Notamacropus eugenii: one gene and its partners. The protein of the gene in region 2 interacts with the protein of the main gene of each other region in a pairwise test. Links are inferred from orthologs where the notes say so. Each region holds a gene or a part of one and is shown on either strand. Other genes may lie near its edges.

Region 1 (7,104 bases), on a different chromosome or scaffold from region 2:
ACAACTCAGAACTTTCTCATCCTGGTTTTGCTCCCAGTCTTAAGAATTGAAGGCAACATTCCAACCAATTTATGATCCTATGAACCCCACCCACTTCTCCACCAAAGTACTTGCATCTATCCATTCAGACCCGGATAAAAACACTTTCAGATTCAGTTATGACTTAAGTCATGACTCTTTCCATATCAGGCTTGACAGTGTATGACTTCATACAATGGATGAAACCAGACCAAACAAAAACACAAACAGGCCTCTGGGGTTTGCATTTTTTTAAAAATGGTATTTGTATTAAAAGTCTTTAGATGAAGAGACAACCATTAAACGCATGTCTGGAATTAAAATTACAATTAGTTAGAATCTGCTTGGTACATCACAACATTAAAACTTTGCTCTTGGCTGGAGGAATATCCTAAGACAGGTAAAAAAAAAAAAACCAGGGAGGGAAGGAAAAGGGCACTAAATACCTGAAAATTTAAATTACGTGAAGCCAGGAGTACTTGCAAAACATGGAAATTACATGTAAAAGGCTCCAAAAGAAATCAAAAGAAATTCCATGAACAACAGGCCATTTTGTCTCGGCTTGTTGGGTATGATTACTGAGAGGAAACTGTTAAGTACTTTGGGGAGTCATAGCAGATAATGGGATTTTGTGGAACTTTCACAGGTTGGCACGGCTGGAACAGCTGAGTTTTGAAGGCACTCTAGACACAGGGTCGCTGTTGCCCCTGAATCACATTTGAGGAAGTCTTTGTACTGTACTTTAAAGATCTGGTCATCAAAATCAGTTATTGCCAACCAAAAGGAAACCCTAAACCCAAACAAAACAAAATTAACAAAGCACCCCACCAAAAAAATGTGCAGATTTGTAATTTTTCACAGCTGATAAAAAAAAAAAAAACACTCCCGCTCTCCCCCAGACTCCCATTTGATACAGTAGGTAAACAAAATAGATTTTTTTTTTTTCCACAAATATCAGCAGACACTTTCTGGCACTCCACACTGCATTGGCACCAGTGTAAACAGTCCAAGTTCAGTTGTGCAATATTTCAGATTGGATACACTGTAACAATAATCCAACTTTGCATAGAAATCCTCAGAATTGTAATCAGTCCCAGGGTTGCACTTCCAGGCTGCCAGGGAAGGCAGTTAACCCTCACTTCCAGCACACACACATACACACATGCCTGGAAACGGGGTTTCTTCCTCTCCTTTCATTTCTTCACAGGCTTTTCCTGCACTTCCTTCCCCGGTCTAGGTACTTAAATCTTCCATTTGGAAAGTGGTTGTTGACAAGCCTTTTTCTCTCCCATCCTCCTCCAGCTCCCATCCCTTCCCTCCAGATTAAAACTTTTTTTTTTTTTGCCTGGTGTCAAGTTGCCAATACAGCTCTCTAACGGCTGCTTTAAGTGGGAAAACAGGCAACTATCAAAGAAATCCACGAGAGGAATGTACATGCTTTGAAAGCGCCACATTTCCACCCAGGTTCAGATGTTAAATACAAGACAACTCCCCCCACCCCCATGACACTGAGCACTGGGGCTCGTCAGCTGCAGTTGAAATAGCCATGAGCCCCCACCTGGAACACACCTTGTACGCTGCAAAGTTGTTTCCAATCTTAAAATAATAATTAAAAAAATCACATTGAGAAAGAAGTATTGTATTTTGCTTTCGCTTTTTTCTTTAAAAAAAAAAAAAAGAAACCAATAAAAATTCAAACCAAAGCACAAGCCCGAAGGAAGAAGCTCCCCCACCCACCCCTTGTTTTCAGAGAATCACGCAGGAGGAGCAGCACTGGTCGTCCCCGTTGGGCTGAGCCGCATAGTTCATCTGGCGGACAATCTCCGCGAACAACTCGTCCACCGAGGCTTTATTTTTGGCCGACGTCTCGAGGAAGGGGCAGCTCCATTCCTCGGCCAGGGCCTTGCCCTCCCCAAACGAGACCTCGCGCTCGCCCTCCAGGTCCACCTTGTTGCCCACCAGGATCATGGGCACCCGTTCGTACCTCTTGACGCGGATGATCTGGTCGCGCATAGGCTTGATATCCTGGAAACTCTGCTGGTTGACCAGGCTGTAGACGAGGATAAAGCCCTGGCCGTTTTTGATATACAGATCCCGCATGGACGCGAACTGCTCCGTGCCCGCCGTGTCCAGGATCTCCAGCACCGACGGCGACGAGTCCACTTCGATCTCCTTGCGGTAGAAGTCCTCGATGGTGGGGTCGTACTTCTCGATGAAGGAGCCCGTCACGAACTGCACGGTGAGGGCCGACTTGCCCACTCCGCCCGAGCCCAGCACCACTACTTTGTACTCTCGCATGGCTTCTTACCCCCCCCCCCCTCCCCGAGAGTCTCTCCCGCTCTCGGCCTCCCTCCGGCCTGGGCCCCCCGGGGGGCGTGGGGGCAGAGGGGGAAGGAGTGGGACCTGCGCAAAGCTTAGCTCGGCTCCTGCCGGGTGCTCTCTCCTAGTACCCAGCGGGGGAGGAGAGAATAGGGAGAGAGAAAGCAAAGAGCTGCGGGTGGGGGGTGGTCGCCCACCCCGGCGAGGCTTCACTCGGGCTCCGTGCCCTGCATTCAGGCGGCGGCGGCTGGGGCACTGGTAGCAAGCGGCCGGCGGCGGCGGCAGGCGCAGGGACAATGCCCGGGCTGGCGAAGGAGCGGGCGATCGGCCGGGCACGGACTACGGCCGGGGCCGGGGCTGGGGCTGCTGCTGCTACTGCTGCGGTTGTGGCGGCGGCGGCGGTAGCTGGGGCTGCTCCTCACCCGCGGCAGCAGCGTTGGGAGGAGGGGTGGCAGAGGCTCTGGCACTGGCGGCGGTGGCAGCAGAGGCAAGGACGGGTGCAGGCTGCGGAGGCGGCTGCTAATTGCGCCCCAGCCCCGAGCGCGTGGTGCATGAGTCCCCGTGGTGCCTGCCTCCTTCCTCCAACAGCCCCACGGTCCGTACCTCCCTCCCCAGCAGCCCTGGGAGTGCTCCAGCTTCCTACTTACAGCCCCAAACCTGCCCTGCCTTAGTGAGCATGCCCAGTGAGGGGGCGCTGAGTCGTGGCGAGGCTGCCGGGGGGAGGATTCCGCTTTTCCGGGTTTTCCTAGAGGGCCGGGGCAGGGGCGGAGCCAAGAAAGCTGTGGGCTCGTGTTGGGACTGGGTCCCCTGAGCTGGAGTTGAGGTGGACTGGGTGCCAGAGATGAGCGCACCAGCCTTGGGAAAAACAATTCCAGGATAAGATCTATTATTTGTATGCCCTCCTAGCAAGAGGGCATGAAGGGGGTCCTGCATCCAGATACCCACAACACCGGGCAGGCAGATGGAGGGATGACTGACAAGTGACGGGGGGACGCACTGGAAGGCGGTTTTATTGGGGGGAAACGGGGCTCCTGGGTGCCCTCCTCCCCATTTGTGTATTCTGGGATGCCTTCCGGGGAAAACCATTCGTTGCTGAATCCAGGAGATCCCCTTTGGGAGCAGGCAGAGGCGCGGGTGCCATTCTCTGGCTTTGTGCTCCCCAAGCAGAGTGTTGACGCGGGGGCACTCCACATATATTGTATGTATCTTGATGCCCCAGCTTCTACCAGTGTTCCCTTCTCAAATATCACCTGTGTTCTTCTGTAGCGACTTTTTTGAAAGTACACCTTGTCTTCTCCCTAGGATATTAGCTCCCTGAGAGCGGTTACTTGTTTTATTTTTCTGACCTTGCAGCCCCCAACTGGCACATAGGAGTCGTTTAAAAAATCTTTGTTGATTGCTATACTAACCCTTAATCGTGGCTAGTTTGGAGAGCTTAAAAACTGGCCAAGCGCTCAGCATTGGAAAGAAGGCTGAACTGGAATTTGGAGGACATGGGCTCTGACCCCGGCTTGGCCAGTTGCTACCCTAAGTTCTTTCTTCTTTCTGTACTTCGGCTTCCATCTCCCTAAAATGGGGTAGGAACCTGGACTGCGTGGCACAAGGACGAAGAATGGAGGACCGGTGTTTAATTCTCTCTTAGATGCTTACTACAGCTCTCAAGTCAGTTTGCCTCTCTTGACCTCTGTATCTTCCACTGTACAGTGAGGTTGGGCCAGAAATCCTTGAGAGTTTAGGTAGGGCCGTTATCTTTACTTATCATTCCCGACCGGGGATAGAGGCTCTTTGCCAGTTTAGTGGTGCCAGTTTGTTGGATCGCAGGAGGTGCTCCCCAGACTTCGAGCCCCAGAGTGCTCTGCTCCTCCTTCACCGCCACCCCCCATTCCCCTAAGGAAGCTAAACAAACTGTGCTTGCAACCCTAAGGTTCCAGGTAGCTTGGAACCCCGAGTGTTCTGATTTTGCAATGGGGAGGCAGAATGCTTAGTGATGGAAATGGGGAGACGTGCGGAGAGTAGCATGATGTGGTCTGGCCGCATACAGAGAGTACATCTACTTCTGGGTCCCAAACCCGTCAACCTCTGCCGGCCCACGCCACTGACCCTTGCCGGACCACTGGGGTTGGCGGGGGGGGAGGGGGAGGCGTTCGAGCCAGGGACCCGGACCGCAGCCAGCCAAGGCGGGATCTCTGCGGTTGATGCTGGTTCCTTGGTCCTTGGAGGTCGCCCACGGGGCCCCCGACCTTCTCTTTCCAGCCGGGACCAACTGCAGAACTTGGGGTGCGAGGATCCTGCAGGATCCTGGGTCCCTCCCTCCAGACTTTTCTAGGCTGTGTGGAAAACCCGGCCAATCTGGCTAAGCCCGTCAGAACTGTTCTATGAGGCGGGCAGGAGATAGGAGAGAGTTGAGCATGCTCAGTACGAGCGGCAGCTGGTGGGGGGGCGGGAGTTAGAAGTAGGAAGGTTTCACTGGACACACCCACCCTGGCTCTCAAATTACCTCCTCTCCCAAACTCGGGGCCCATTGGTCGACGGGTGCAATCCTCCTCTCCCCGCAGCCCCCAGGTAGCCTGGCATTGGCTGTCGCCGAGGTTGTGTCAGGCTCCAGGGCCTCATTGGCTGAAAAGTATCCCCCATTTGTGATTGGTTATCAATAGAGACTAAGTGAAGAGGCGGAGGCCCAGCTGTTTCTCAGCGGTGTCTCCCGTCCCTTCCCTTCCCCTCCCCCTGCTTCTCCCTGCCCACCCCCCCCAAAGCAGCTGTTTGGGGAGAACAAAGTCGAACAGGCTGCAGTAGACCTAGAGGTGCTGAGCCTAGAGACCCCAGGGTCCGTATCTCTTTAGGCTGAGCTAGGGTGGGCACAGCTTGCCAATCCCTTCTCCCGGCTGCAGCGGGCTCGGGGGAGGGTGCCAGCGGAGAATCCTCGCTCTGGCCTGGGAAGGGAGAAGCTAACACCACACCTAGTCCTGCCCCCGAAGGAAAGGGGGGCGGGGAGTAGGGAAAGGCTCGGCCAAGAAGCCAGTCCTAGGGAGGAGAGGGAGAAGTGCCCAGACCTGCCTCCAAGTCTCTCTGGTTAGGGGTGGGATTGTTGGCTCCCTCATGCTCTTTGGGAGGTAACGGGGAGCTGCCTCGGCTTGTCCCGACCCTCCCTTATTTCTCGAGGAGGAGAGATGTCAAGACCTGTCTTCAGATTTTAGGATCAGACGAGGAGGTGGGCGAGGGAGGAGTGGATGGGTCAGGGGTGCTTGGGAGCCGTGAGAAAGAGCTCGGCTGGCCCATAAAGAGGGGTCCGCTGGGGTCGCTCCTTCAGGAGGCTTTGGGTTTAGTACGAGACTCAGACCGAATTGTGTTTCCCCCTTCCACCCAGGATTAGACGGAAGATGCCTAGTGATCGAGGACGGCCGAAGCCCCAAATCCCAAACTTTTTCAAGAGCAAGAGGCAACTTTGTTGCTGTTGTAATGCAACTGAAATTCTTGGAGGAAACTATTCAGATAGCTCCGAGTCTGGGACGGCTGCAGGCTGCAGCCTTCTCCGGGACTCGCCTAAAGGTGAGGAGGGTGTGGCCCCCACCACACCCTGTGGAAGGCCCTGCTTTGCATTTGGTTAAACCAGACGCTGACTTGTCATATTCTTTGAAACAGGTCACCGGATGCTGAATTTAGAGCTGGAAAAGGCCTTGGAGTTCATCTAGTCCAAAAGCTTCATTTTAGAGATGAGGAAATGAGGTACAAGGAGATAAATGACTTACCCGAGGTCACACAGTTAATGAACCGTGGTTGAAGTCCAAGGTCATTTGACTCTAGAGTTAAAGGCTTCTCTGGCTATAACTGAGGTAACAGGTATTAATCCTTCCTCTATAGCCAGGAAATATTGAAGAAAAAAAACAGGAAGCTTTCCCACATTGCATACTTTTTGCATATGTGTATGATATATCTAAATATACATATGTGTATTTTATGACTTTGTTATTTTACAATTATGTCCTTTTTAAATCTCGAAGAATTTTCATAAAGAGCTCTCTAATGCCACCTAGTAGGCACCGTCTTAGGACTGTCCCTGTCCCTTGCATCCCATGAAGCAGCGTGACTTGGAAGTAGCCTATGGGCTTATACTATGAGGGAGCAGGGAGGTACCAAGAGGTGCCAAGAGGTACCAGGCAGACAACAACCCCAGTCAGATAAAGAAGGAGCTCTTAGGATCATAGGCTTAAAACTCAAAACAAAATAAACTTTAGAGATCCTCTTATGTACACCCCTCCCCCCCCATATTACAAATGAGGAAAAAAGACATGTGTCAGGGCAAGCAGTGCCATGTCCAGGTATTACCACTGGCAAAAAGCAAAGTTGTTTCCAAATCCAGTTCACTTTCTCTCCCAGCAGACTCCTCTGGAGACAGTCCAGCAGTGAGCACTGTTCCTGGTTCTTACTAAGTTGGGATTGATTGCCTACCTGATATAATCCTCCAGGAAATCTACATCCTACTCAAGTTCTTGGGAGCACCCAGGGTTAGGACCCAGCATTTAGGTTCAAGGTGTTCCAGTTGGTAAAAATGATTGGTATAGATTCTTTCATAAATTCATAATAGCTGATAACCACGTAACACTTTAGGGCTTGTCTAGTGCTTTCACATATGATTCTCACAATAACCCTGTAAGAAAGATGCTCACACCTCCATTTAATGGGAGGGGGTATTGAGGTACCAAGTGATTATTTCATTTGTCTACCATTACCTAATAAGTATCTGAGGCAGGATTCAAACTCATATCTCCT
Region 2 (7,849 bases):
ACAATCATATTAAACATATTTCCACATCAGTCATTTCGTGATAGAAGAATTGGAACAAAAGGGAAAAACCATGAGAAAGGAAAAGAAAGAAGAGTATGCTTTTATCTGCATTCAGGCTACATAGTTCTTTCTCTGGATGTGGACAGCATTTTCCATCATGAGTCTTTTGAAGTTGTCTTACATCCTTGTATTGCTGAGAAGAGCTAAGTCTATCAAAGTTGGTCATCATATACCGTTGTTACTGTGTACAGTGTTCTCCTGCTTCTGCTCACTCAGCTCTATATATTTTAGAAATGAAGCCTTTATCAGAGACACTGACTGTAAAAATTGTTTCCCAGCTTTCTGCTTCCCTTCTAATCTTGTTTGCATTAGTTTTGTTTGTGCAAAACCTTTCTAATTTAATGTAATTAAAATTATCCACTTTGCATTGCATAATATTCTCTATCTTCTGTTTGGTTATAAATTCTTCCCTTCTCCATAGATCAGACAGGTAAACTATTCCTTGAAGGAGCATACATGCTAATGAAGGAGGCAACAGGGAAATCATTAGATACACGCAATGTATAGACAGTGAAGATAGAAGGTCATCGTATAGAGAGGGCGATAGCAGCTCTGGAAGCCAGGAAAGGCCTCCCCTAGAAAGAAGAAGGAACCCAGAGACGCCAGGAGTCAGAGATGACAAAGATGTCAAGATGGGAGATGGGATTTCACAGTTAAGAAACAAGCAGACTGGTATCAGTGGATCATTCAGCCACTTAGTCACCTGTGTTCGTCCTTTGTTGCCAAAGAAGACCATGCCCTCAGAGAAATGATGACATGACCTGCGCTTGACTTTGTTTTGAGTGAGGGAGAGCTGTGCAGGTCACCAGCCTCACTTCTCTTCCAGATCCATCCAGTGATCAGATATTCATCAGGATGACTGGAGATGACCCAGGATGAGGCAACTGAGGTGAAGTGACTTGCCCAAGGTCACACAGCTAGTGTGTGCCAAGTGTCCGAGGTGAGATTTGAACTCAGGTCCTCCTGACTCTTGCACTGGTGCTCTATCTACTGCACCACCTAGCTGCCCACTTAGTCAACTAGCATTTGTTAAACCCCTTCTGAGCCCTGGAGATACAAAGGAAAAAAATCCCTGCTCTCAAGTCTAATGGTGGAGACAACATACAAACAACTATGTACAGACAAGCTATTTGCTGCTGCTCTTGTTCAGCCATGTCTGATTCTCCGTGACCCCATTTGGGGTTTTCTTGGCAGAGATGCTGGAGTGGCCTGACATCTCCTTCTACAGCTCATTCTACAAATGAGGGTTAAGTGACTAACCCAGGGACATACAGCTAGTAAGTGTCTAAGGCTGGATTTGAACTCAGGTCTCCCTGACTCCAGGCCATCCTTTTTGTCCACAATGCCACTCAGCTTCCCAGACAAACAAGCCACATACAGGACACGTTAGGGACATTCTCAGAGAGAAGGGAGTAAGATTAAGGAGCAATAAAAGACTTGAGGCAGGGATGCCAGTTAGAGGCAATAATCTAGGAGAGAGTTGATGAGTGACTGAACTATGGTGGAGATTGTGTGAGTAGAAAGGAGGGGAGTTATATGTGATATATATTGTGAAGGTTGAAGCAACACTCTCTGGCAATGGATTGGAGATGTAAGTTGAGTGAGAGTGTCAAAGTCAAGGATGATACTGAGGTGGGGAATCTGGGTGATTAGAAGGATGGTGAGTATAGTTGACAACAATGGGGATGCTCAAGAGATGGAGAGAAGGACTGGTTTGGGGGAAAGAGAACAAATTTTGTTTTGAACATGTTGATTTTGAGTTCCCTCCAGGATATCTGGTTCTAGATGTTAAAAATGCATCAGTTGATAATACATCATGTGAACTCAGAAGTGCGACTAAGGTTATTATGTAGTCCTAGGAATCATCTGCATAGAGATGATAACCAAACCCATGGGAGTTGATGAGATCACCAAGTAAGATAGTATAGAGAGAAAAGAGAAGTGGTTTCAGGACAGAGCCTTGGGGGACAGCCATGGTTGGTGGTTATAACAAGGATGAGAAATCTGCAAATGACTGGTTAGAGAGGTAGCAAGGAAGAGAACTGGGAGACAGTCATATCATGAAAGGCCAGAGAAGCGAGTGCATGATCAACAGTGTCAAGGATTTCAGAGAGTTCAAGGAAGATGAAGATTGAGAAAAGGCCATTGGATTTGTCAGTTAAGAGGTCACTAGTAACTTTGTCCAGTCAAGTGTTCATTGAATGATGAGGTCAGAAGTCAGATTGGAGAGGAGAGTGAGAGAAGAGAGAGTGTAGACAGCTTTCTCAAAGAGTTTAGCCAAGAAGAGATCTAGGACAATTGTAGGATATGGTAGGATCAGATGAGGTTTTTTTAAGCATGAGAGAAATATGGATGTATTTTTAGGCAACACAGAAGGCTCCAGTCATTCTTTGTTAATAATAATTATAATAATAATAAGTAGCATTTGTAAAGTGCCTATTATGTGGCAGGCACTGTGCTAAGCACTTTACAAATATTATCTTATTTGATCCTCACAGCAACCCTTCAAGATAGGTGTTATTATTATTCCCATTTTACAGTTCAGGAAACTGAGTCAGGCAAAGGTCAAGTGACTTGCCCAGGGTTCAATCCAGTTTCATGGCAGGTAGTGATACTGTCTTCTGTGAAGTTCCAGGAGGTTCTTCTAACAGGCAAAGATTGGAGGAGGGATGGGAGTGCACTGTTTTGCCTGTGTTATTGCCCTGGGGGTTGGGGGGGAGGTGGAAGGGGGTCCTGTCTTGGGACAGACTGGCACTGGAGGCCCTGGAAGGGGGGAGATAAAGGGGCCTCTGCCTGGGAAGGACCAACCACTGGCATCTGGAAGGTGGAGGCCTGACTAGGAGTTCAACTGGCAGCAATTGAAGAGAAGATGCCAGGAGATGGATGCCAGGGTTTTGTCTCTTGCATTCTGTCATTTCATCTCATTATGCCAACCTGAGGAGGTCCTGTTTTCTGGGAGCAGGGCAGTGAGGCCCTTCAGAGGAATAACCATGAATGCAGTTTAGATTCAGGAGGAGATTAGTAGTGCCAGATGAAACCAGGCTTCGTAGGCTATAGGATCATAGATTTAGGGCTGAATGGGACTTTAGAGATCATTTACCCTAACCCCCTCATTTTACAGATAAGGAAAGTAAGTCTGAGAAGTGAAGACTTCACCAAGGTCACAGAAGTATTAAAGAAGAAAACCAGGATTTAAACTCTGGACCCGTGACCTCAAACCCAGAATTCCTTATGCTGTACTGAGATGAGCGTTGGTAGTTCTCTCTTTTGGCTCCAACAGCGAGTGTTCAACACTCTCCAATAAGCAGACTCTAACCCGGACGACCACCTCCTCTATTCTAACCTAAAGGAAGGTACTGAAGGCATTGCCATCAGGCATCAGGGGAATAAGCAATGGTTATTCGGTCAGAGTATCCAGGTTCCTATTCTTCCTTTGACACTACTAGGGTGACCTTAACCTCTGTGGGCCTTGGTTTCCTAACATGCAAAATAAGGGGATTGGACCAGATGGCCCCTGGAGACCCTCCTGGCTATCCTTCTGTGAACTGAGACTATGTTCCATCCTGGTAGGTGCAGCCAGACACCTCCTTGCTCATAATTTCTAGATATGAAGCTTGGGGAATCAGAGATCCAGCACCTGACCCTGAAGTAATGGTTTCTTGTTTGTGAAACCGGGTCAGTTTTTCTTCCACTCCCTCCCTCCCCCTCCTCAGCATCCTTATCTCCTCCTCCCTGTTGCTGCCCATAGCAACAGCTCTGGCACCTTGCAGTGAGGGACTGATGCCTGCAATCTGGGTCCAGGGCCTCCCTTCCAGTTGGGGAAATATATCCTCTTCCAGGCGTTGAAGAGTGGGCAGGTGGGTGGGCAAAGGGCCCTGGTAGAAGGGGGAGGAAATGTCCCCTCTCTAGAGCAAGGATGACCATAAGGTTAGAGCTACCCAGAGATGCCTGATGGTGGCTGGTAGGAAGAGACTGTCTGCTTTTTATTAGCTTAACCTCCTGCCCCCTCTATCTTGCCTCAGAGCTGCGTTTGCTCAGAACTACCATTTGTAGGGGGTGAGTGGGGGTGGATAGGAGTGGGTAGGATTAGGAGGGTGGCTAAAATCAGGAGCTGTGGTCCCAGGGATCCAGTTGGTGGAAGGACTCTACCTTCTCCTTCGGGGTTCCAGTTTGTTTGAGGGGATGAGTTAAATAAGGGGGCAGCTTTCCCACCTCCTCACAACCCTGCTGCTGCCCCTCCCCAGGGGCTCTGCCCTACTCCACCCTGCCTTTATAGTCTATGTTCAAAACCAAATCTCCTGCCTCAGCCTTAGAGAAAGGGTTTCTAGGTGTTCCAGGCATCGGAGTTGGGTCACCTACCCTGTCTGCAGTCGTGGGTGTCCTGAAGGGAGAAGGGGTCGGATTGGTTAACTTGGCGTTCAGTTTTCGGGTGTGAGTGTGAAGGGTGTTGTGCAGTGTGGAGAAGGGGTGGGGTGGGGGGGTTGAGGGTCCGCCCACGAGTGTGCAGTGGAACTACATATCCACGGGGGTGCTGGCCTCCTCGAGGGTGACTGTGGGTGGGGGGGAGGGTCCTGCCGGCAGGGCAGAGGGAGGGGTGGGTCCGCGCTGGGAGCATTTCCCCGCGTGTGTGTTCCGCAGGGAGGAGGAGTGGGGTGGGTCCACGCTGTGCTGTGTGCGGGTCCCCGCGTGCGTGGTGTCTGTGTGTGTGGGGGGGTGCCGCGCAAGGGAGAGGGAGGGGCCGGTCCACGGCGTGTGCGGCAGAGCCCCGCGCCTCCTCCCGCGTGTAGGTGTGTGGCACACACGCAGTGAGCAGATCTCGCGTTGCGCTGCCCAGAGCCAGCCCCCCAGCCTCCGGCCCCCCGCCTGGAGCGGAGGTGTCACTCTCTGCCCGCGCTGCTGCTGCTGCTGCTTCTGCCGCCGCCGCCGCCGCCGCCGCCGCTGCGGGGCTAAGCCGGAGCCCGAGACCGAGCCTGAGTCCGAGTCCGAGTCCGAGTTCGAGCCCGAGCCCGAGCCCGATCAGCTTGACGGCTACACCGCGCCTCCCCGGGAGCCCTGCGCCGCCACCGCCGCCGCCGATAGCCTGAGCCCAGAGCGTGCAGCAGGGGAAGCGGCAGCTCGCAGAGCCCTCTCCGCGGCCGCAGCGATGGCCACGACCGTGACCTGCACCCGCTTTACCGACGAGTACCAGCTCTACGAAGATATCGGCAAGTAAGGATCCAGGCGGCACCGCGCTGGGGGAGGGCTGCAGGGGGAGCCGCGGGGAGGAGAAGGCTGGGCTAGGGCCATGTAGGTGAGTCCGGCTGTGGGGGGCTGCGCCAGCCCTGCGGGAGGAGGAAGCCCATGCCTTCAGTGCCCCCCTTCCCCCCTCCCCCGCGAGGAAGCGCCCAGTGTCTGTCTGCAAATGTCTGTGCGTGCTTGCATGTATCGCTGTGGTGTGTGTGTGTGTGTGTGTGTGTGTCGGGGCGGGGGGGAGGACCAGGGACGCGGGGGTGTCTATGTGCCAGGGGCGGGGGGCGCATTGCGGACCCCGTGCACCTCCCAGTTCTTTGCGAGCTCTCCGGCGCCGGGCGTCCCAGGGCCAGGCGGACAGCGTGGCTCCTTGGGTACGGCTGCTGCGGTGACAGTGGCGGTAGCATGGCCACAGTCTTCTGGGTGCCCTGTTTCTTCACTGCCCCTCCCCCGCTGTCTCTCTCCCTCTCCAGCCCTGGCAGCTCCACTCCGGGCGCCCGGGGCTTATTAGGGGCGTGGGGGCGGCGGGGGCGGGTGCAGGTGCCTCCCTAGCAGCATGCAGACGTGACGCATTTCGCTAAGGGGAGGACCGAGGGCTGGAACTGGAGGGGGTTGGGGGAGGGGGTCGTTCAGTGGCAAGAAGCCGACCCCCCGCGGCGGCCCCGGCTTGCCCAGCTCCCCTGCCCGTAGCTGCTGCGGCGGTGCAGTCGGGAGGCTCCGGGGGCTAGGGCTGCCGCTGGACTTCCCCAGCGCTCAGCGCCTTTTCGGAGAGGATCCTGCACATGTCGAGTCGGGGTGGGGCTGGGGGCTGGGGTTTAGGGGCGGCACTCCACCCGCCGGGCTGTCCCGGCCATGTGCTGGCACACCGCTTTGCTGGCTTCTGCATCTCCAGAAGCCGGCAGGGGTTTGGGTGGAGATGCCCAAAGAAGGCCCGCCCATTCTCCTGGGGCGGCGGGGGCGGGGAGGCCGGTTGAGGGCGAAGGAAGAAGAGGCTGCGAGCTGGGGTGTGTTGGGTGTAAGTGCTAGCCGAGGTGGGGGAGAACCTGCAGGGTTCTGAGCACCCCTCCCCCATACCCTGAGGCTGAATCCTTAAGCTCGTACTCTTTAGCCCCTTCCACTGAGACCAGCTAGAAAGGATGTGATTGTGTGTGTGTGTGTGTGTGTGTGTGTGTGTGTGTGTGTGTGTGTATGTATGTGTGAAGTCCTTCCATGAGGTTTGCTCTTTTGCTCAATTTACTCCTTACAAGGTCTCATTCCTTGTCTTCCACTCCCGTGCTTCCTCTGGGAAGTCGTGGACATCAGGGAGGGGAGGATTTTGGACAGAGTGCCAGTGGCTTTTGGGTGAGGTTCTACCGGGTGCCTGGAGGCCGGCTGAAGCACCTGCTAGGAAACAGACAGAAGCTAGAGGAGGGCGTGCAGGCCTTACAGTGGCAACAGATCGCTCCTCTCACAGCAACCCTGTTTTAGGGGCCTACAGGTTGAAGCCGGCGGCGGAGAGACTGGTTTCTGAAATTCCTTTGTGGGAAGGTGTGCAACCTCATCTACCAGTATTCCCATAATAAGTTAACCCTGGAATAAAGACATAGCTTTTCTTTCTTTGGCTGGCTCTCCTTATTTCCCATATCCTGAGCCTTCCAGGCTGGGCTTCCCAGGGGGTCTAGCAGCTCTATAACATATTGCTCTAGTGAGATGGGATTCCAAGAGAAATAGAATTAATTGCTCATCTTCTTCTGTGGGCAGGAAACCCTTGGTGGCACTGGGAAGCCAAGGTGAGGACCTAGCAGTAGAAGTGAGGGGGTGGGGAATAAGAGGGCAAAAGATTTTGATTCTACTCCAGGCTTGGCCGTAAACTAGCTGTGTGACTTTGGGCAAGTCTTTCACTTTTCCTCATCTGTAAAACCAGCAGAACACACAAAGTAATTTTTAAGATTTTATGTGTCTCTGTCTGTGATTATCCTGGCTTTGGACTCAGGTGGAGGTGGGTTGGGAAAGGCAACCAATTTCCTTTTGCTCTGAGGTCATTGAAGCTCTGGAAAATCTTTTATGTACTCACCAGACTCTTTGGTCCACATTTTCTTTTCTCAAGAATACCTTTGTGATTGATACCTTGATGTGAGATACCTGGCTCACTGCTAACTGAAAATCTCCTGAGAACTCCAAGCGCTGGCCATCGGAGAGGGCAGTATGAAGGGATTTCCTGATCCTCCGCACCCTTATTAAGCTCCCTTACAATTCTGTAGCTCTCCTCCTGCATCTCTGCTTAAGCTTCCCCAGTTAGAAATGATCTCATTTCCCCCTTCAACTCCCCACTTTATGTACCACTTTGCTTCCATTGCCAAGATATACTTAACGATGTATTATTTCGTTGTATAAATACTTTTGTCTATGTCATAACTTTCTGCTACACTGAGGGTAGGACCTCTCTTCTTCCAAACTTTGTGTCTCTCTCGTATGTGTCTAGCTATGTGCTCAGTATTCAAGGGTACTTAATAAATGTTTAATGAATTGAAAGAAAGGTAGTGTGGTAGAGCTGATAAGTGAAGGCTTGGGTTCAAGTTGA
Region 3 (7,495 bases), on a different chromosome or scaffold from region 2:
ATTCAATTTAAAACATTTATTGACTACCTACACTGTATTAGGCACTGGCATACAAAGCCAAAAAGAAAACAACCCCTTCCTTCAAGGAATTTCCTTTTTACTGGAGAAATACAACATCCAGACAGACTTAGAGAAATGAGGTGATTTGAGGAGAAATAAAGCCCAAACAACCTAGTATTTGATAAAATCCAAAGATCCCAATCTGCAAGAACTCATTTTTCAACACAAAAACTGTTGAGAAAACTAGAAAATAGTCTAGCAGAAACTAGATATAGACCAACATTTCACACAATTTGCCAGGAAAAGCTCCAAATGGGTATATAATTTACACATAAAGGGAAATATAAGCAAATTAGAGGAGCAAGGAAGTTAAGTCTCAGATAGATGGATATGGGGAGGTTTTATGATCAATGAAAATTTAGAGAGGTTCACAGAAGGTTAAATGGATATTTTTTATTAAATAAAATTGGAAAGTTTTTGCAGAAACATAACCAATGTGGCTAAAATTAGAGGAAAAGTGAGAAGCTGGGAAGAAAATCTTTGCAGTAAGTTTTTTTCTGAAAAAAGTCTAAGTTCTCAGATACATAGAGAATTTATAAGAATAAGGGCCATTCCTCAGTTGATAAATGGTCAAACATATGAGCAGGTAGTTTTCAGAGGAAGAAGTCCAAGCTACTAATAGTCACATGAAAAAGGGTCTAAATCACTAAGAAGAAGAGAAATACAAATTAACACAACTGAGATACTGTCTCATACCTATGAGATTGGCTAAGATGTTAAAAAGTCAAAGGACAAATCCTGGAGAAGCTTTGGAAAAAAAAGCACATAAAGGTGCTGTTGGTGGAGCTGTGAAACAATCTAACCATTCTGGAAGGCAATTTGGAAATATGCTCCTCAAAGTATTAATCTTAATATACCTTTAGACAGAGGTATCAATACCTGGTCTATACTCCCAAGAGATCAAACAAAGAAGAAAAGGACTTACATGTACAAAAATATCTGACAGTTTTTTTTTTTTGTGGTGGCAAAGAATTGGAAACCAAGGGAATGCCCATCAATTGGGGAACGGCTGAAAAAGTTATATGAATGAGATGTAATACAACTGAACTGTGAGAAATAATGACAGGGATGGTTTCAGAAAAACTTGGGAAGACTTACATGAACTGATGTAAAGTGAAGCGATTAGAACCATGAGAACAATTTACACAGTAACACCAATATTGTAAAGATAATCAACTTTAAAAGATAACTGATGGATTTGGAGTCCATAGTGAAGCATTCTCTCTCTCTCTCTCTCTCTCTCTCTCTCTCTCTCTCTCTCTCTCTCTCTCTCTCTCTCTTTCTCTCTCTCTCTCCCTGTCTCTCTCACTCTCTGTCTTTCTCTCTCTGTCTCTCTCTCTCTCTCTGTCTTTGTCTCTCTCTCACATTAATGTGGAAATTTGTTTTCTATGACTATACACATTTGCGGAGGCAGCTAGATGGCTGACAGAACAGAGTGCTGGGCTTGGAGACAAATCTGAACTCAGACACTTAATAGTTGTGTGACTATGGTCAAGTCACTTAATTTCTGTTTGCCTTCATCCACTGAAGATGGCAAACCACTCCAGTATCTTTGCCAAGAAAATCCCATGGACAGCATTGACATCCTATGGTCCACGAGGTCACAAAGAACTGGACATGATTTAACCACTGAATTTGTAGTGGATTCTCTTTTTCCTGCCTTCTCAATGGTATTGGGAGAGGGATAGGATTTGGAACAGGAACTAAAATAAAATTGAAAATTTTTTTTAAAGAAAAGCATTCCTGATTAGGAGAACTGAAAGGTTTCAAATCCCTACTTTGCTACCTACTGGCTATAAGGCAATGAGTGAGTCAGGTAACTTGTCTGAACCTCAGTGACCTCTTCCATAAGATCAGTGAGTTGGACTTCCTGATCTCTGAGTCCCATTTCAGCTCTAATTGATGGCTGATGGATGATGATATCCTGTGATGATACCTGTATTAGTTGTGGGTATACCACTTGTCAGCTTTAGTTTCCTTATCTCTAAAATGTGGGGATTAAATTAGATGAATTTTAAAATCCAAACTAAAATTCCTTCTGTAGTAGCTAGGAGAAGCAATGAATAAAGTGCCAAGTCTGGAACTAGGTTAAAATTGGTCCTCAGACACTAGCTGTGTGCCCCTGGGAAAGTCACTTAACCCCATCAGCCTCAGTTCCCTCATCTGAAACCACTCCAGTATCTCTGTCAAGAAAACTTCAAATAGGGTCACAAAGAGTTGGGCACAGGTGAACAATAACCACAAAAGCTCCTCTAGTTCTAAATCTATGCATGAGTCCATAATTCTAACTCTTCTGAAATATGGCATTTTTTGAGGGGAGAGAACAGGGCTTGAAAATTGTATTTATGTAGTTATAAGCCTTCCCAATTCCCTTTAAAAATTATTGTAATCCTTTCTAATTCCGGTGACTCTGGACCCTGCATCTGCTTTTGAAAAGGAGGAAGAAACGGTGTTGTTTGAGCAGATGTGTTCAAGGGCATTGACAGGTATAAACCTGAGAACCTGGTCACTTCAAGTGCTATGTGGATACCCAGGTCAAGGAGACCTATAACCTAGAAGCTAACTTGGCTATGCTCAAGCTCTACCAGTTCAACCTGGCCTTCTTCCAGACCACAGTGACAGCCCAGATTCTGCTGAAGGCCCTCACCACATGCAAGTGCATGATTGATTAGACTCATTAAAAAGAGTGGCCCATCAGGAAGATCCTGTACTTGGGAGACTTGCTGGAGACCTGTCATTTCCAAGCTTTGTGGAATGTTCTAGAAAAGAACATGGATCTCCTTCTCCTTAATGGCATCACAGGCTTTGAAGACTCTGTCTCAAGATTTATGTGCCATGTGGTGGGCATCACATATCAACATATTGACTACTGGCTGCCAGCCGAGATACTGGGAGATCTGTCAGGCAACCAACTGAAAATATAGATGAGCAAATGTGTCTGAAACTCCACTGAGGTAGGACAGGTCTTCATTTGCAGCCAAGAAGAAATTATCAAGCCGGAGAACATTGTGGAAAAGATCGACTTTGAGAGTGTTTCCAGCATCATGGCCTCCTCCCAGTATCTCCTTCTGCCAAATGTCTCCTTTTTTCTGCATTTTGTTTCCCCTTACGTCAGCAAGCTTCTTAAATAAAAGTGCTTTACTTCTTGAAATAAAAATTAATGCAATCACTTCTCTATGTCCATGAAATCCCAGGTCTTGTTTCCCTGTTCTTATACTCCCTTAACAAGAGTTCTTAAGCTGGGGTCTGTGAATTTAGTTTTTGTATTTAGATAAGTGAATTTCGATAGAACTGGAGTTTCTTTTGGCGTCCTCAATATTTCATTTATTTAAGAGCATGTTTCTGAGAGGCGACCTGTAAGCTTCTACAGATTGCCAGGGACAGTCCAGGACCTCCTAAAAGGAGAAAGATCCCTACCTTCTAACCATAGCTTCAACGAAAACCACCTCAATTAAGCAAAGTAGATTCCCATCGGTGCCATCCTATAGATTTTCCTACTGGGATGACATTTTCCTTGCTAAGGCTTGGAAACTAGGTGAAGAAAACACAAAGTTCCAGATGCAAATATTTACTGCAATGTCCTGGATCTTATATAAACAATCTCTTTAAAAAAAATTGGGTTGAGGTAAAATAAACAAGAATCTAAGGTCTTTGCTTGGGCTAGATGATATGGTACTTCTGTTGGTACTTCTTTATGTCCTGTTTGTCAACCATTACTGGGTTCCTTTCTAAGAAAGGGAAACAGAACTGGGCTGCATGTGCATGTTTATTTCTTTCAAGATGGGCATGGGAACTCACTATGAACCTTAAAGACAGACAGACAAGGGGGATGTTCCATGTTCGGGGTGATTCCCTCTCACCCCTCTGCTTCTCTTCCTTGCTCTAGATGCCCATGCCAGCCAATGTTATAGTCTCCTTATGTATCAACCATCATACAAGAAAGGCATTTCTCAACAGGATCGGCTATAAGTAGGATAAGAGAGAATGTCCAAGACAGCCCTAGATGCCCGTATTTGTCCTGTCGTGAACATGAGACGATGTCAGGAAAGTCCCATCATTTAGGTGGGTGTCTTGGTCCTGGGCAGAAGGTCCTTCACCTGGCCTGAGAGACTGACCCAGGAAGGCGGATTTGGGGTCCCATGCAAGGCTGAGCTCCCAGAAGCCCAACATGTCTCTGATTGGCCAGTCCAGGTGTTAGGCCTTTCTCCAGTCTTGGGGGTCCCCAGTGGTTGGGGGGGCTCCCCGTGTTTGCCCCCTCTATCTCTGCGGGCAGCGCTCTATAAACTCCTTGAGGGCGGGCTCCAGTCTTTAGCTTTTCTTCGTCTACACTGCCTGGTGCTGAGTAAGGGGCTGGTGGTGATGCGTCATCCGTGACCCGGTTCGGGGTTTTCTGGACAAGGGTCAGGTGACTCGCCCGAGGTCACCCAGCTGGGCAGCTTCCGAGGCCTACGTGGGCCGCGGAAGGGCCTGACGAATGTTTACGCTCATTATGGAGGGGCTGACCAAGGCCGCAGGCCCGGAGGCCGCCCAGGCCGCCAAGCCCCGCTCCGGCCAGCTCCGCGGGGGGCCTGCGTGGGCTCGCGCTCCGCGGGGGAGGCACGTGAAACCGGCGCCAACGGTCTCGGAACGCTCCAGAAGCGGTGGTTTGCGCCCAACCGCCCCCAGGGGCTCGCGCGCGGCCTGGTCGCCCTCCCCTCAGGCAGGCGGTGGGAGCCGCAGGCAGGAGCAAGGGCAGCGAGGACACCCGCCGGCCGCCCCAGCGCCGGCCCCGCCTCTTCCTCCGCCCCCGGAGGGCGGTGCCTGCTCAGTGCAGGGCGGAGAAGCCAGGGGTAGGCCGGGCTCGGCGGAGGGAGGAGCGGCCTGGAGCCGGGGGCGGGGCTTGGCCTCGGCGGCAGCGTCTCATTGGTGTCTCCCAGCAGTCGCCCCGCCCCGTCCGCCTTTCTCCCTCCTTCTTCCCTCCCCTTCCATGGCGCCGCCCGGCCTCATTCATTCCTCCCTGGGCCACTCGGAAGCCGGCGAGTCCCAGCAGCGCGTCGGAAGCGGCGACACCATGTCGGGCGAAGAAACTGCGTCTCCGTCCGCCATCCAGATCAGCAGGTAACGGCGGGGCCCGAGGCGGAGCGGGCACCTGCCGAGGCCCGGCGGGGAGCAGGATGCTCGGCTCCGCCTGAGTCACCGCCCCGGGCCGGGCTGGGCTGGGCCTGGCTGGGCCGGGCCTGGCCGAGCGGGCCGAGCCAGGTCCCATCGCACCCCCCGCCGCCTCCATCCCCCAGGAGGCCCCTCCATCCCCCCTCTCCGCTGCTTGTACCCCACCCGCCGAGCCTCGTTCGAGCATCCTCTCCACCCCTCCCCCCTCGGCTCGAACCCCCCAGGGCCCTGGCTTGAGCTCTGGGGCTCTCACCTCCAGATACCGGCACCCCCCAAACACCGCCCCTCCCCCGGCTGAGCCTCCTTCGCCCATCCTCCCCCTCCCGCACCCCTCCCCCAGCAGCCCAGGATGTTGCCCATCCCCTCATCAGCCCCCCACACCTCCGCACCTCTCTGATTCTCACCCCGGCCACCCCCAGCCCTATTCCTCTCCACCCCGTCAGCTGTCGGTCCTCCCCCAGGGAGGCTAACCTCCCAAAGACCCCTCCCTGACAACCCCAAAGTGCCCTCACTCCTCTCGACCCTACCCCCATCCCCTCCTCCTTTGCCCTCTCCCCCTATTCCCAGTCTGCCTCCCAAGCTGAGCCCCATCTTTTCACACTTTCCGTTATTAACCTCTAATCTCGCCAAAATTCCTTCCTCTCCCCCGCCCCCCCCCCCCCCACCTGGTGCAGCCTATGCCGGCTCTATTCTCACCCTCTCATCTCATTCCTCATAAACCTCCCACCTCCTTACTGTTGAGGCCCACCTCCTTTATTTCCCCTCCTTTCTTCCCTCCTCCCCCAAATACCTACCCTAGGCCCTGTTCTGATACTTCTACCCCTCCCCCCATGCTCAGTGATACCCATCTCCCCCTACCCTAGTACCTTCTCTCTGGGGTCCCTCCTCTTTCTTTTATTTGCCCCCAAGTAGCTTTTCCTCTGGGACTCTACCCCTAACCCTCTGCCTGGGCCCACCCTTCATCCTCATATATTTCCACTCTGAGTAAGACCAATCAAAAGACCAGCCCCCTCTGGGACTGATCTCCACACTCTCACCCCTCACACCCCCTCCTCCTCCCCACCCCAACCCCAAAGTAAAACATTAAAAACAACCAAACAAAACAAGCAGCTTCCATTCTTTGGCCCACATCCCTTCCCTTATGCAAATGGCACCTGAGTGAGCTTTATTTATTTTTTTTACCTTCACCTTGTGTTAAATCTATTTACCTTGCACAGATCTCCCCGAAATGCTCTCTGCTCTTTGTCCCTTTGTCCTCTGTACCATCAATGGACAGTTCCCACTTGAGGATCTCCCTTTCTTGTATCCCATCTCTACCTATGATCTGCCATCCTCCCCAGTTCCCACCTTCTAACGGCTTCAGCCTGGTAGAACTTAGATTTGGGATCCTGTTCATTAGTCTGGTTCCCCCCAACCCCCTTTAAATTGGTGCAGCCAGGGCCTGGGAGGTGCATTGTCAGCTGGCAGGAGGGAAGGAAGATCTGTTACCTTTTTTCCTCTTACACTTAGAGCCCTGGACTTGCTGCTTTCTAATCATCTCTGTGATCTTTTCCTGACCTCCATATGTAAATTAGGAAGGTTTTAGTTGGAAGAGACCTTAGAAATAATCCAGTCCAATTCCCTCATTTTATATCTGAGCACACTGAGACCCAGGAAAGTAAAATGATACTTTGCCTTTGATGCTGATTCTTGCTCTCTGTTTGACCCTCGACGAGTCAGTGACTTTCTTGAACCTCAGTTTCCTCATGGGTACAAGGGATGCTTGGTTTTGACAGCCTCTGAAGTGCCTTTGAGCTGGACCACACTGATGCCCAAGGTCACAGAGGCAGGAAGTGGCCAAGCCCCGTTATTGTTGACTTTGGCTTCACTCTCCCCCCACTTGGTGGTAGGGTCCATTGAGGACATTTCCTCGACCACTGCAGCTAGAGTTGTTTACAGATCAAAAAGCCAAAGAACATCATTGTCCTAGCACACTTCTATCCTGCTTGCTATGTGCCAGGTATTGTGCTGATTGTCTCATCTGATCCTCTTTATTGGGAGCCTGTGCTTTGTGACACTCCCTAAAATGATGTCTCTGGGCATTGCAGACCAGTTGTTTTCCCCCAGATCCTTTGTCTCCACTGATTTGCATCTGTTTCTGTTGTCTTTGAGAAATACACCTCCTCTTGGTGTGGTCCTGTTTCTCCTTGCCCATGTAAATCACTAGGAAGTAGTGTGAAAGACTTTGGCCTGGAGTGGCAGAGACCTAGTTCAATTGGCATTTACTTCCTCTCCTTTATGGTGGAGT
Region 4 (7,849 bases), about 91 Mb from region 2:
TCACTTAACTTTGACTGGCTCAGTCCCAATTTCCTGCCCATGTGTCCTCCCACGTAATTTTCTTTCTCCCTCCTCACCTTTACTTCCTTTTCCAGGTAGTCACACAGCAGAATCTGGGGGTCAATGAGGTAGTCCGGGGGATACAGGGGCACAGAGTGGAGAGGCCGTCGGCTTACAGGACTTCTCCCAGTTGACCGACGCCCTGTCTTAGGGAATACCAGCCGGCGGATAGGGGACACAAAACCCTAGGGAAGCAAGAGTGGGGGGGTGAGAACCCTGGGGAAGGGTCCAAGGGTTCAGCCAGACTTCAGTGGGTCTCCCTTGCTCTGTGGGTGTGTACTTTAATCTAGTATGACTTGGGGATTCCCAATAAGGACAGAATTAGGGCAGGGCCAGGGGTGTGCTGGAGGCATCTCATGCCTATGAGCTTACTGTTAAATTTTCAGTGTATTTACTCCTTGAATACTGGTAAATACTACAAATCAGGGCTCAACTCATTATTTTGTTGATTGTCTAGACTGAAGGAGAATATTAATTCTGAGAAAATATTAATGCAGATTAAAATTAAAAGTGTACCATGTGTGCATTTTTTTTTTTTTTTAGAGAATTGGTGTTAAACATTTGCCAGCACACTCCTAGATAGGTCTGTACTACTGAGGACATTAAGTGTGACCAGAGGCTGTGTGTGTGCATGAGTTGTGCGTATTTGAGTATGCAATTACATCTACAGGAAATGTAAATATGAATGGGTATCTGTGAGCGAGAGTGGATGTATACGTATCTTCTATGTTTGCATATGGTTCATAGGATCACAGATTTAGAGCTGGAAGGAAACTTAGAGGTCACCTGATCAACCCCCTGATTTTACAGGTAAAAAAACCTGAGGCTCAGAGGAGATAAATGAGTTGTCCACAGTCACAAGTAGAAGAGCTGGGCCTTCAACTCTAGCCCTCTTTTCATTATACCACACTTGTGTGTGTGTGTGTGTGTGTGTGTGTGTGTATGTGTGTGTGTGTGTGTGTGTGTGAGAGAGAGAGAGAGAGAGAGAGAGAGAGAGAGAGAAAGATAGTTCTTGTGTTCTTGTGAATGCCTTAGTCCATGTGCATTCAAGTAGGTGTATGAGCACATGTGTGTGTACGTTTGTGAGTCTGAGTCTGGCCAAAGAAGTTTGCATACACTAAAACCCTATGAGTCTTGGCCTGTTCAGGTGGAAGGTGTCTAAGCATTGCTTGACCTCCAGGGGAAGAGTATAAGTCTCTGACCAGAGGAGACAGATAATTCTGAAATCAGACATAGTGACTTTCAGAGATGGATGGTCAGACAGATAAAAGCTGTCATTTACATAGTTCTTAACATGTATTATCTCATTTGAGCCTCAAATATATCATGCAATTTAGGGTCTATGGGTATTGTGATCCCCATTTTACAGAAGAAACTGAGGCCCAGAGAGGTTAAGTGGCCTCTCCATGGTTACATGGCTAGCAAATGTTGGAAGTGAAATTAGAACCCAGGTGTTCCTGACTCTGAGTACAGCACTTTATTCATGATGGGCCTATGGGCCCAGATAGATATAAAGAAACAAATAGGGATCTCTGAGGGACAGAATTCCTAGGAGGGGCTGAGTGACCTAGAACCCACCTTTATCCCAATCTAAAAAAGATAGTTACTAGGAGAGAACTGTAAAAAGAGATTCAGGAAGGGGATTCTGAGGATGGATAACCAGGAAGGTCCAGACAGCAGGGTCTGCTAAGAATATTGGGGAAATAAGTTTGGGGTGGCAGTCTGAATCAATCTGTCCCTCTAATCCATCTGGTTCTGGGGAGTCTAGAGCCATTAAAAGCAAGAGGACAGAAGAAAGTTGGGGGTTGGGGGAAGTCTGCCTGCCTGTCTTTTCTCTGAAAAAGATCCAGAGAACAGGAACCACTGAGAGCAGCTGCAGAATACATTTCAGATGTTGTACCATTACGTATTAGCACAATCAGAAAGGCAGGGCAATTGATCTGTAAGCCAATAACCCTGACAAGAGCCCCAGCCTCTCTACCTCTGACTTGCCCATAATCAGCTTACAAAAATAAATTGTTCTAGGCCAGTGTCCCTAAACCAAACCACTTACTGAAAGGCTCACGGTTAACAAGAAAGCAAGAGGCGGTTCATGAGAGAAGAATGCCAATATTGTGTTCTCTATCTGACTCACCTGCCACACAAGCTCTTCCAGGGGACGTATATTCAGCTCAAGGAAACAGAGACAGACTGAAAGTCTACCCCCAAAATTCAGACTCCCAAGGTAGCTCTTCTGTGTCATCCAGAGATATGACTGACATCTGGCTTTCCCTCTTATTAACACAATCAGCTCTGAGTAAGGGCCAGTTTGGGAAGCTGCTTCCATTAAGCAGCCTTAGAGAGGGAGAAAAACCAGTACCCTTGCTAGACCTATCTTTAGAGCTCTCCAGTCTTCTCACTGTACTAATACTAAGGTCAAATACATTTTTCTCTCAGGGCTTCATTTCTTCATCTGGAAAATGAGAGAATTGGACTAGAACTCCATCAGTAAATTAGTTTACCCCATCAGCCAATTTGAATAGGGAAAATATTACATCTTTCAATGTAATGGGTTTCCTTTATAACCCTATATACTTTGCTTTTATGCATTCAAAGACAATATTTTGAGAAGGGGCTTCATCAGACTGCCAAAGGATCCGTAATATACAAAAATGTTAAGAAACTTAACTTAAATGTTAGACTTAAAAAAAAGTTGGTCTCCGAGTTCCCTCCAGCTCTAAGTTCTATGATCAATCTATCTGTCTCAGGGAGCAGGGATAGGTAATAGGATCTCATCCATTAATAAGAGAGGCCCTAACATTGGCTTCACCCTTCCAGAGGCATCTTTTCCCCCTCTCACTGCTCCCCCCTCCAGTATCCCCCATTTTCTGGGCCCTGAAGCCCATGCCCAAGCCACAGCTCCAAACATACCTTTCTCCCCTTCTTCCCTTCGAACTCCATGGTGTGTCCCCCCAACCCCCACCTCTCTACTGGCTGGAGATTTTCTTTGTTGTATTTCCTGCCTCGGAAACTCCACCAAGCAAGCCAGGAATTCCTGCCCCTCCTGGCCTGATAAGAAGTGCTGGGCTAGAGTGGGTGGAAGTGCCAGGGACCCCAGGTCAGGGAATGGAGTTCTGAGCAGGGTGGCAGCCCCTCTTGAGGAGAGCTGGGTAAGAACAGAGAATAAAGGGGAAGTTATGGGAACCACTGTCCCAGAGGGCCAATAGGAGATAATCAGAGCTGGTAAAGTACACCTGCTGGGCTCTGTGTGACTGCACTTTATTCCTATCCAGACTTGGTGCCTAGGGATGAAGTTTAACCTCCCTTTCAGACTCTTGAAAACCCCAGTATTGCCCATTGTCTTCATACTGTCCCTGGCTACGTAGGAGCCAACACTAGACCCTACCCCCTCACGATCCCTTCCTATGCCTTCATTCCTCTCCATCCCAAACTCTCTCTGATCTGATGAACACTCAAAGAACCACAGGACCCCAGAATTCAGAGAGGATTTTGGAGGGCATCTAGTCCACCTTCAGAAAGGGGCTTCATCTAAGGTCATATAGGTAATAAGCATGGCTTTGAACCCAGTTCTGCTGACTCCAAACCTGGAACTGTTTATATTACACCATGGGCAGAAAGGTGCTGTTAAATGTTTAACAACTGTCTCCCCTTCCTCCCCAAATCTGTTTGCAGGATATACTTTAAGATTTAATCTCCCTTATTATCACTTTCCTAAATCTACTCAACATTCAACAAAAACAACCAAGTCCTAATATGTAGCATTTTCAGATTTCCAAGGTGTAGATGTTCACATGAAATGATCAGCTGTGGCAAGCTGGTAAGAGGGGTTCAAACACAGCCCTGATCCCTGAATCAGCATTAGGTTGTGAATGTCTAAAACTTGGTGAAATGAGGCCTGAACTGGCCTCAAGCGACTGGAGTTCTAGTTTCAGGTCAGATCTTGACTTTCTGCATTTGCTATGTGATACTGTATAAATAGCTTGCCTTTCCTGGGCCTTAGTTTCCTCATCTGTTCAAAAGGGGATAATTATTTACCTCAAAGCAGGGTTGTGAAAATTACCTGAGAAGGAATGGAAAAATACCAAGAACTGAATAAAATAAGAGATTATTTGGAGGAAGCAGCTATGGGTATATTGATGATTTAAATAATGTTGCCACTCCCAGTTCTGCCACCATGGCTGTATGATCTTGGACAAGTCATTCATGTTCTTTCTCTTGGCTTCAGTTACCACATCTTTCAGATGGCTTAGACTTAACAGTGTCTGAGGTCCTTTCTAGCTCTGACATTTTGTGATCTATTTGTGGAAACTACAGGTGCCTCCTCAGGTTTGGGGATCATGGAGGACTTCCCAGGCCCTTACTCCATCCCTCCAGCCTTCCCTATTTTCCCCACCCTCCCTACCCCCAAAGGCCAGATGGCCTGGGCTGGGAAGGGCTAGGCCTTATAATTGCTTCCTCTTTCCTCTCTGTATATCCTGCTCTTCTAGCCATGGTGGCAGGAAGCTGGTCTGGACCAGGCTTCAGTCCCAGTCAGGAAGGGAGCATATTTAGTTCCTGTCCTCTATGACACATCCTCCTAGTCACTTCAGACCTCCCCAGCAGTGCAGTTACCCTGTAAGATCTTGGGAGTTGTCTGCAAATTCCTAGGGTTGCTTGTGGAAGGAAAACCAGGCTTTCTTTGTAGTGAAAAAAAAAAAGTAGTACAGGATAATGGAAAGGACACTGGATTTGACTTCAAATCCTGCCTCAAGCCCTGACTAGATGTGTTGCTAAGGGCTTTACCTTAAACCTTAGTTCCCTTATCTGTAAAATATAGTGAGTAATATTTATATTGCTTGGTTTGCAGAGTTGTGAAAATAGTGCTTCATAAACTTTTTCTTTGGAGGGTGGGGAGGCAATCTGGGTTAGATGACTTGCCTAGCCATATAGCTAGCAAGTGTCTGAGACAGGATTTGAACACAGGTCCTTTCGATTCTAGGGCCAGTGTTCTATCCATTGTGCCACCTGGCTGCCCCACTTTGTAAACTTTTAAATGCTATAGGAATATAATAAAAGATTATTTTTTGTGCTCTCCAAGCATGTGTCAGCTGGTAAGGAGATATCTGAGCTGGAAGGTACTCCAGGGCAGGAGTAGGGAACCTGCAGCCTTGAGGCCACTTGTCCTCAAGTGCAGCCCTTTGACCGAATCCAAACTTCACAGAACAAATCCCCTTAATAAAAAGATTTGTTCTGTAAAACTTGAACTCAAAGGGCTGCACCTGAGGACCTAGAGGGCCACATGTGACCTTGAAACCACAGGCTCCCTACCCCTACCCTAGGGATTGCTTAATCTAACCCCCCTAGCAGAGGCCCCCACCCCTCTTCCCTAGAATATTTCTTTAGTCCCCTAACCAGAATCTACTTCTATTCCTCCTATGCTCATTTTCCTAAAGAGCCATTTTGGTCATCTTTCCCCTTACTCAAAACCCTTCAGAGGTTTCCATCTATTCACAGCGAAAAGTCCAAAATGTCTAATTTGTTGCAATCCTTTTTCTTCTTTAAGGCCCATCTCAGATGCTGCCTCCTCCATGAAGCCTCCTATCTTTAAATCATTTGATGACATTTTGTTTCTCCTTCTCTTGTCACTTACCATATATCAAGAGCCCTGGATCTGAAGAACTTGGTTCAGATACTGGCTCTGCCTACTTACTAGTTTTATGACTTTGGGTAAGTCACTTAATTTCATTAGGCTTCACTTTTCCCATCTGTAGAAAGAAGGGTTTGGATGATCTTTAGTTGTATGGTATAATTGGAGAGTAGGGCTCAAAGCAGTCTCACTGATTGGTTTATCCCTTTCTCTAATCAGAAGAGGAAATCAAACACAGATTTCAGCTTCTCGCTGCCCCATCCCTATTCCCCACAACTGAAGCAGGAGGTAGGCAGGGGGACTCACTTCTTATGCCCAGTAGGTTGTCTAGATTTGAGAGGAAGGTCCAGTTCACTCCCGTTTATCCCAGTTGGTCTTGCCTCCATCCCATCCCCAACTTTCTCCTAAAGACACCCCATCTCTTGGCATATTTTCCAAGGGTGAAAGGGTGGCTGTTCCTTCTCACACACCGCCTGATGCATAATACCAAGAAGAGCAGTTAGCATATTCCTGGTTCTCTGTGCCCCCTTTTACACTCTCTGTGATACAACCAGATTCCTGTTGCAATGATCCCCATATCTTGGGGTCACTATCTCTCCTGTCCAATAAGTTCAGTACCTGGCTCACATTTTCTCCTCCCTAACCTCTGCCCACTTTCAAACACCGCGGTCTCCCGATTTCTCAGCCTACTCAGCTCCCATGATTCTGTTTCCAGACTATCTCAACCTCTCATAGGACTAGATGCCAGGTTCCCATTCCTACCCCCAACCTCCACTGATTTTTTCCCCCAAGGGTCAGAATTCCTGGTTGTTGCTCTGAGACAGACCCTTCCCCCAAAGAGGGAGGCTTGGTAGGGAAGGTTAAGCTGTGGCTTCCCATCTGTCTCTCCTTCTTCAATTCAGGAAACATCCACAAGAGCCAGAGGGGTTTGTACTGAAATGACTTTAATATCTCATGTTGCAGCAAAATTAAAAATATACAAAAAGTTTGTGGCATACAAAAAAGTCTCAGTACAGAAAGCCCGGCCTGGGATCCCCTAGCTTCCCCCTGCCTGGGCCCGAGAGGAAGGCAGAGGAAGAAGAGGGTGGCACCAACAATATTGAAGTACATGGAGGGAGACATAAGGTTGAGGACAGAGGGAGGGTGCAACGGAATTGAAAGGAGGAAAGAGGAGGGGGTGAGGGTTGGCAAGGCCAGTACCCAGTAGGGCAAATGAGCTGACAGAGAACCCACTGAGCAGAAGCTGCTGGGGCTTAAGCTGAGAGGAGTCTGTAGTTGAGGATTCCTGTCAGTCAATAGGCAAGGAGTAGGGGACAGGGAAGAAGGAGGAAGAAGAGGGAGGTGTTCAAACTTGAACCATGTCTGAATTTGGAATCCCATCTAAAGTGGGGGCTGCATCTGCAATCAGATCTTTATATGGCCCCTGGAGCCTAGATCCATGAGCTCTGCAAAGGGCAAGAACTTCATAAATGCTGAGTGAATTCAATTCAGTGTAGGATTAGACAAGCTCATGGTTTTGAGCTTGGTTCATGGTTCAAAGCACTGAACTCATCTGGGAGCTTTAGCCCTATGGGAACTCGAGGCAGTTTGCAGCTGATCAGGATTCCAGCCTGGGTAGGCAGGGGCTCTCTCAGTTGATCTGGATGCTCTCTCTTACACTTGGTCTGAGGCATTCATGGAATAGATGGAGCCAAGAGCCCCCTCCCCTGAATTATTGCAGTGTCTCCAGCTCTTGTGATTATGCATAGAAATGTGCCTTTCCAGGATGCCTCCCTGGGTAAGGAGGATCTCATCTGTTCAAGGCCTTCCTGGGGAGAGGGAGCTGAGGTGCCATGACACTGTCAAGGAGGACCCACCAAGGCCTATGTCTCAGGCTACTCATCCCACCCCACTTCCTGGCAGTCATATTTCCAGGGACAGTTCTGGGCTTGGGAGATAGGTTTACCCATCTATCCCCAATTCCAGTTTCTTCTTTTCTTGGGTAACCCCCTTAGCAGAATCACACAACCAATGTTCTCTCTCACTCCCACCCACACCTGCACCCACACCCACCCATCAGAGCCCTCCCAAGGTCAGAGCAGACCCACTTAGGGAACAGTGTACATCCCAAACCAAAGCCTGCAGTCCAAAGAACCTTCCCATACTAACCCTCCCCTCCCCAAC

What was found.
Region 1: the proteins of CAMK2B (region 2) and RAP2B interact in binary tests that used the Homo sapiens proteins (3 or more experiments, as listed by UniProt). The two-hybrid records come from large-scale screens. The link is inferred for Notamacropus eugenii from reciprocal best matches to the Homo sapiens genes CAMK2B and RAP2B.
Region 3: the proteins of CAMK2B (region 2) and ACOT7 interact in binary tests that used the Homo sapiens proteins (3 or more experiments, as listed by UniProt). The two-hybrid records come from large-scale screens. The link is inferred for Notamacropus eugenii from reciprocal best matches to the Homo sapiens genes CAMK2B and ACOT7.
Region 4: the proteins of CAMK2B (region 2) and CCM2L interact in binary tests that used the Homo sapiens proteins (3 or more experiments, as listed by UniProt). The two-hybrid records come from large-scale screens. The link is inferred for Notamacropus eugenii from reciprocal best matches to the Homo sapiens genes CAMK2B and CCM2L.

The regions. Positions count from the first base shown.
Region 1 is NC_092877.1:375,391,065-375,398,168, forward strand, and holds RAP2B (ras-related protein Rap-2b), read right to left. Parts: upstream 3,018-7,104; 5' UTR 2,317-3,017; coding exon 1,765-2,316; 3' UTR 260-1,764; downstream 1-259. UniProt on the Homo sapiens protein: Small GTP-binding protein which cycles between a GDP-bound inactive and a GTP-bound active form. Involved in EGFR and CHRM3 signaling pathways through stimulation of PLCE1.
Region 2 is NC_092872.1:522,555,660-522,563,508, reverse strand, and holds the start of CAMK2B (calcium/calmodulin-dependent protein kinase type II subunit beta), read left to right. Parts: upstream 1-4,834; 5' UTR 4,835-5,203; coding exon 5,204-5,268; intron 5,269-7,849. UniProt on the Homo sapiens protein: Calcium/calmodulin-dependent protein kinase that functions autonomously after Ca(2+)/calmodulin-binding and autophosphorylation, and is involved in dendritic spine and synapse formation, neuronal plasticity and regulation of sarcoplasmic reticulum Ca(2+) transport in skeletal muscle.
Region 3 is NC_092876.1:44,698,628-44,706,122, reverse strand, and holds the start of ACOT7 (cytosolic acyl coenzyme A thioester hydrolase), read left to right. Parts: upstream 1-4,486; 5' UTR 4,487-4,534; coding exon 4,535-5,157; intron 5,158-7,495. UniProt on the Homo sapiens protein: Catalyzes the hydrolysis of acyl-CoAs into free fatty acids and coenzyme A (CoASH), regulating their respective intracellular levels.
Region 4 is NC_092872.1:431,208,656-431,216,504, forward strand, and holds the start of CCM2L (cerebral cavernous malformations 2 protein-like), read right to left. Parts: upstream 3,016-7,849; 5' UTR 3,001-3,015; coding exon 2,971-3,000; intron 246-2,970; coding exon 78-245; intron 1-77.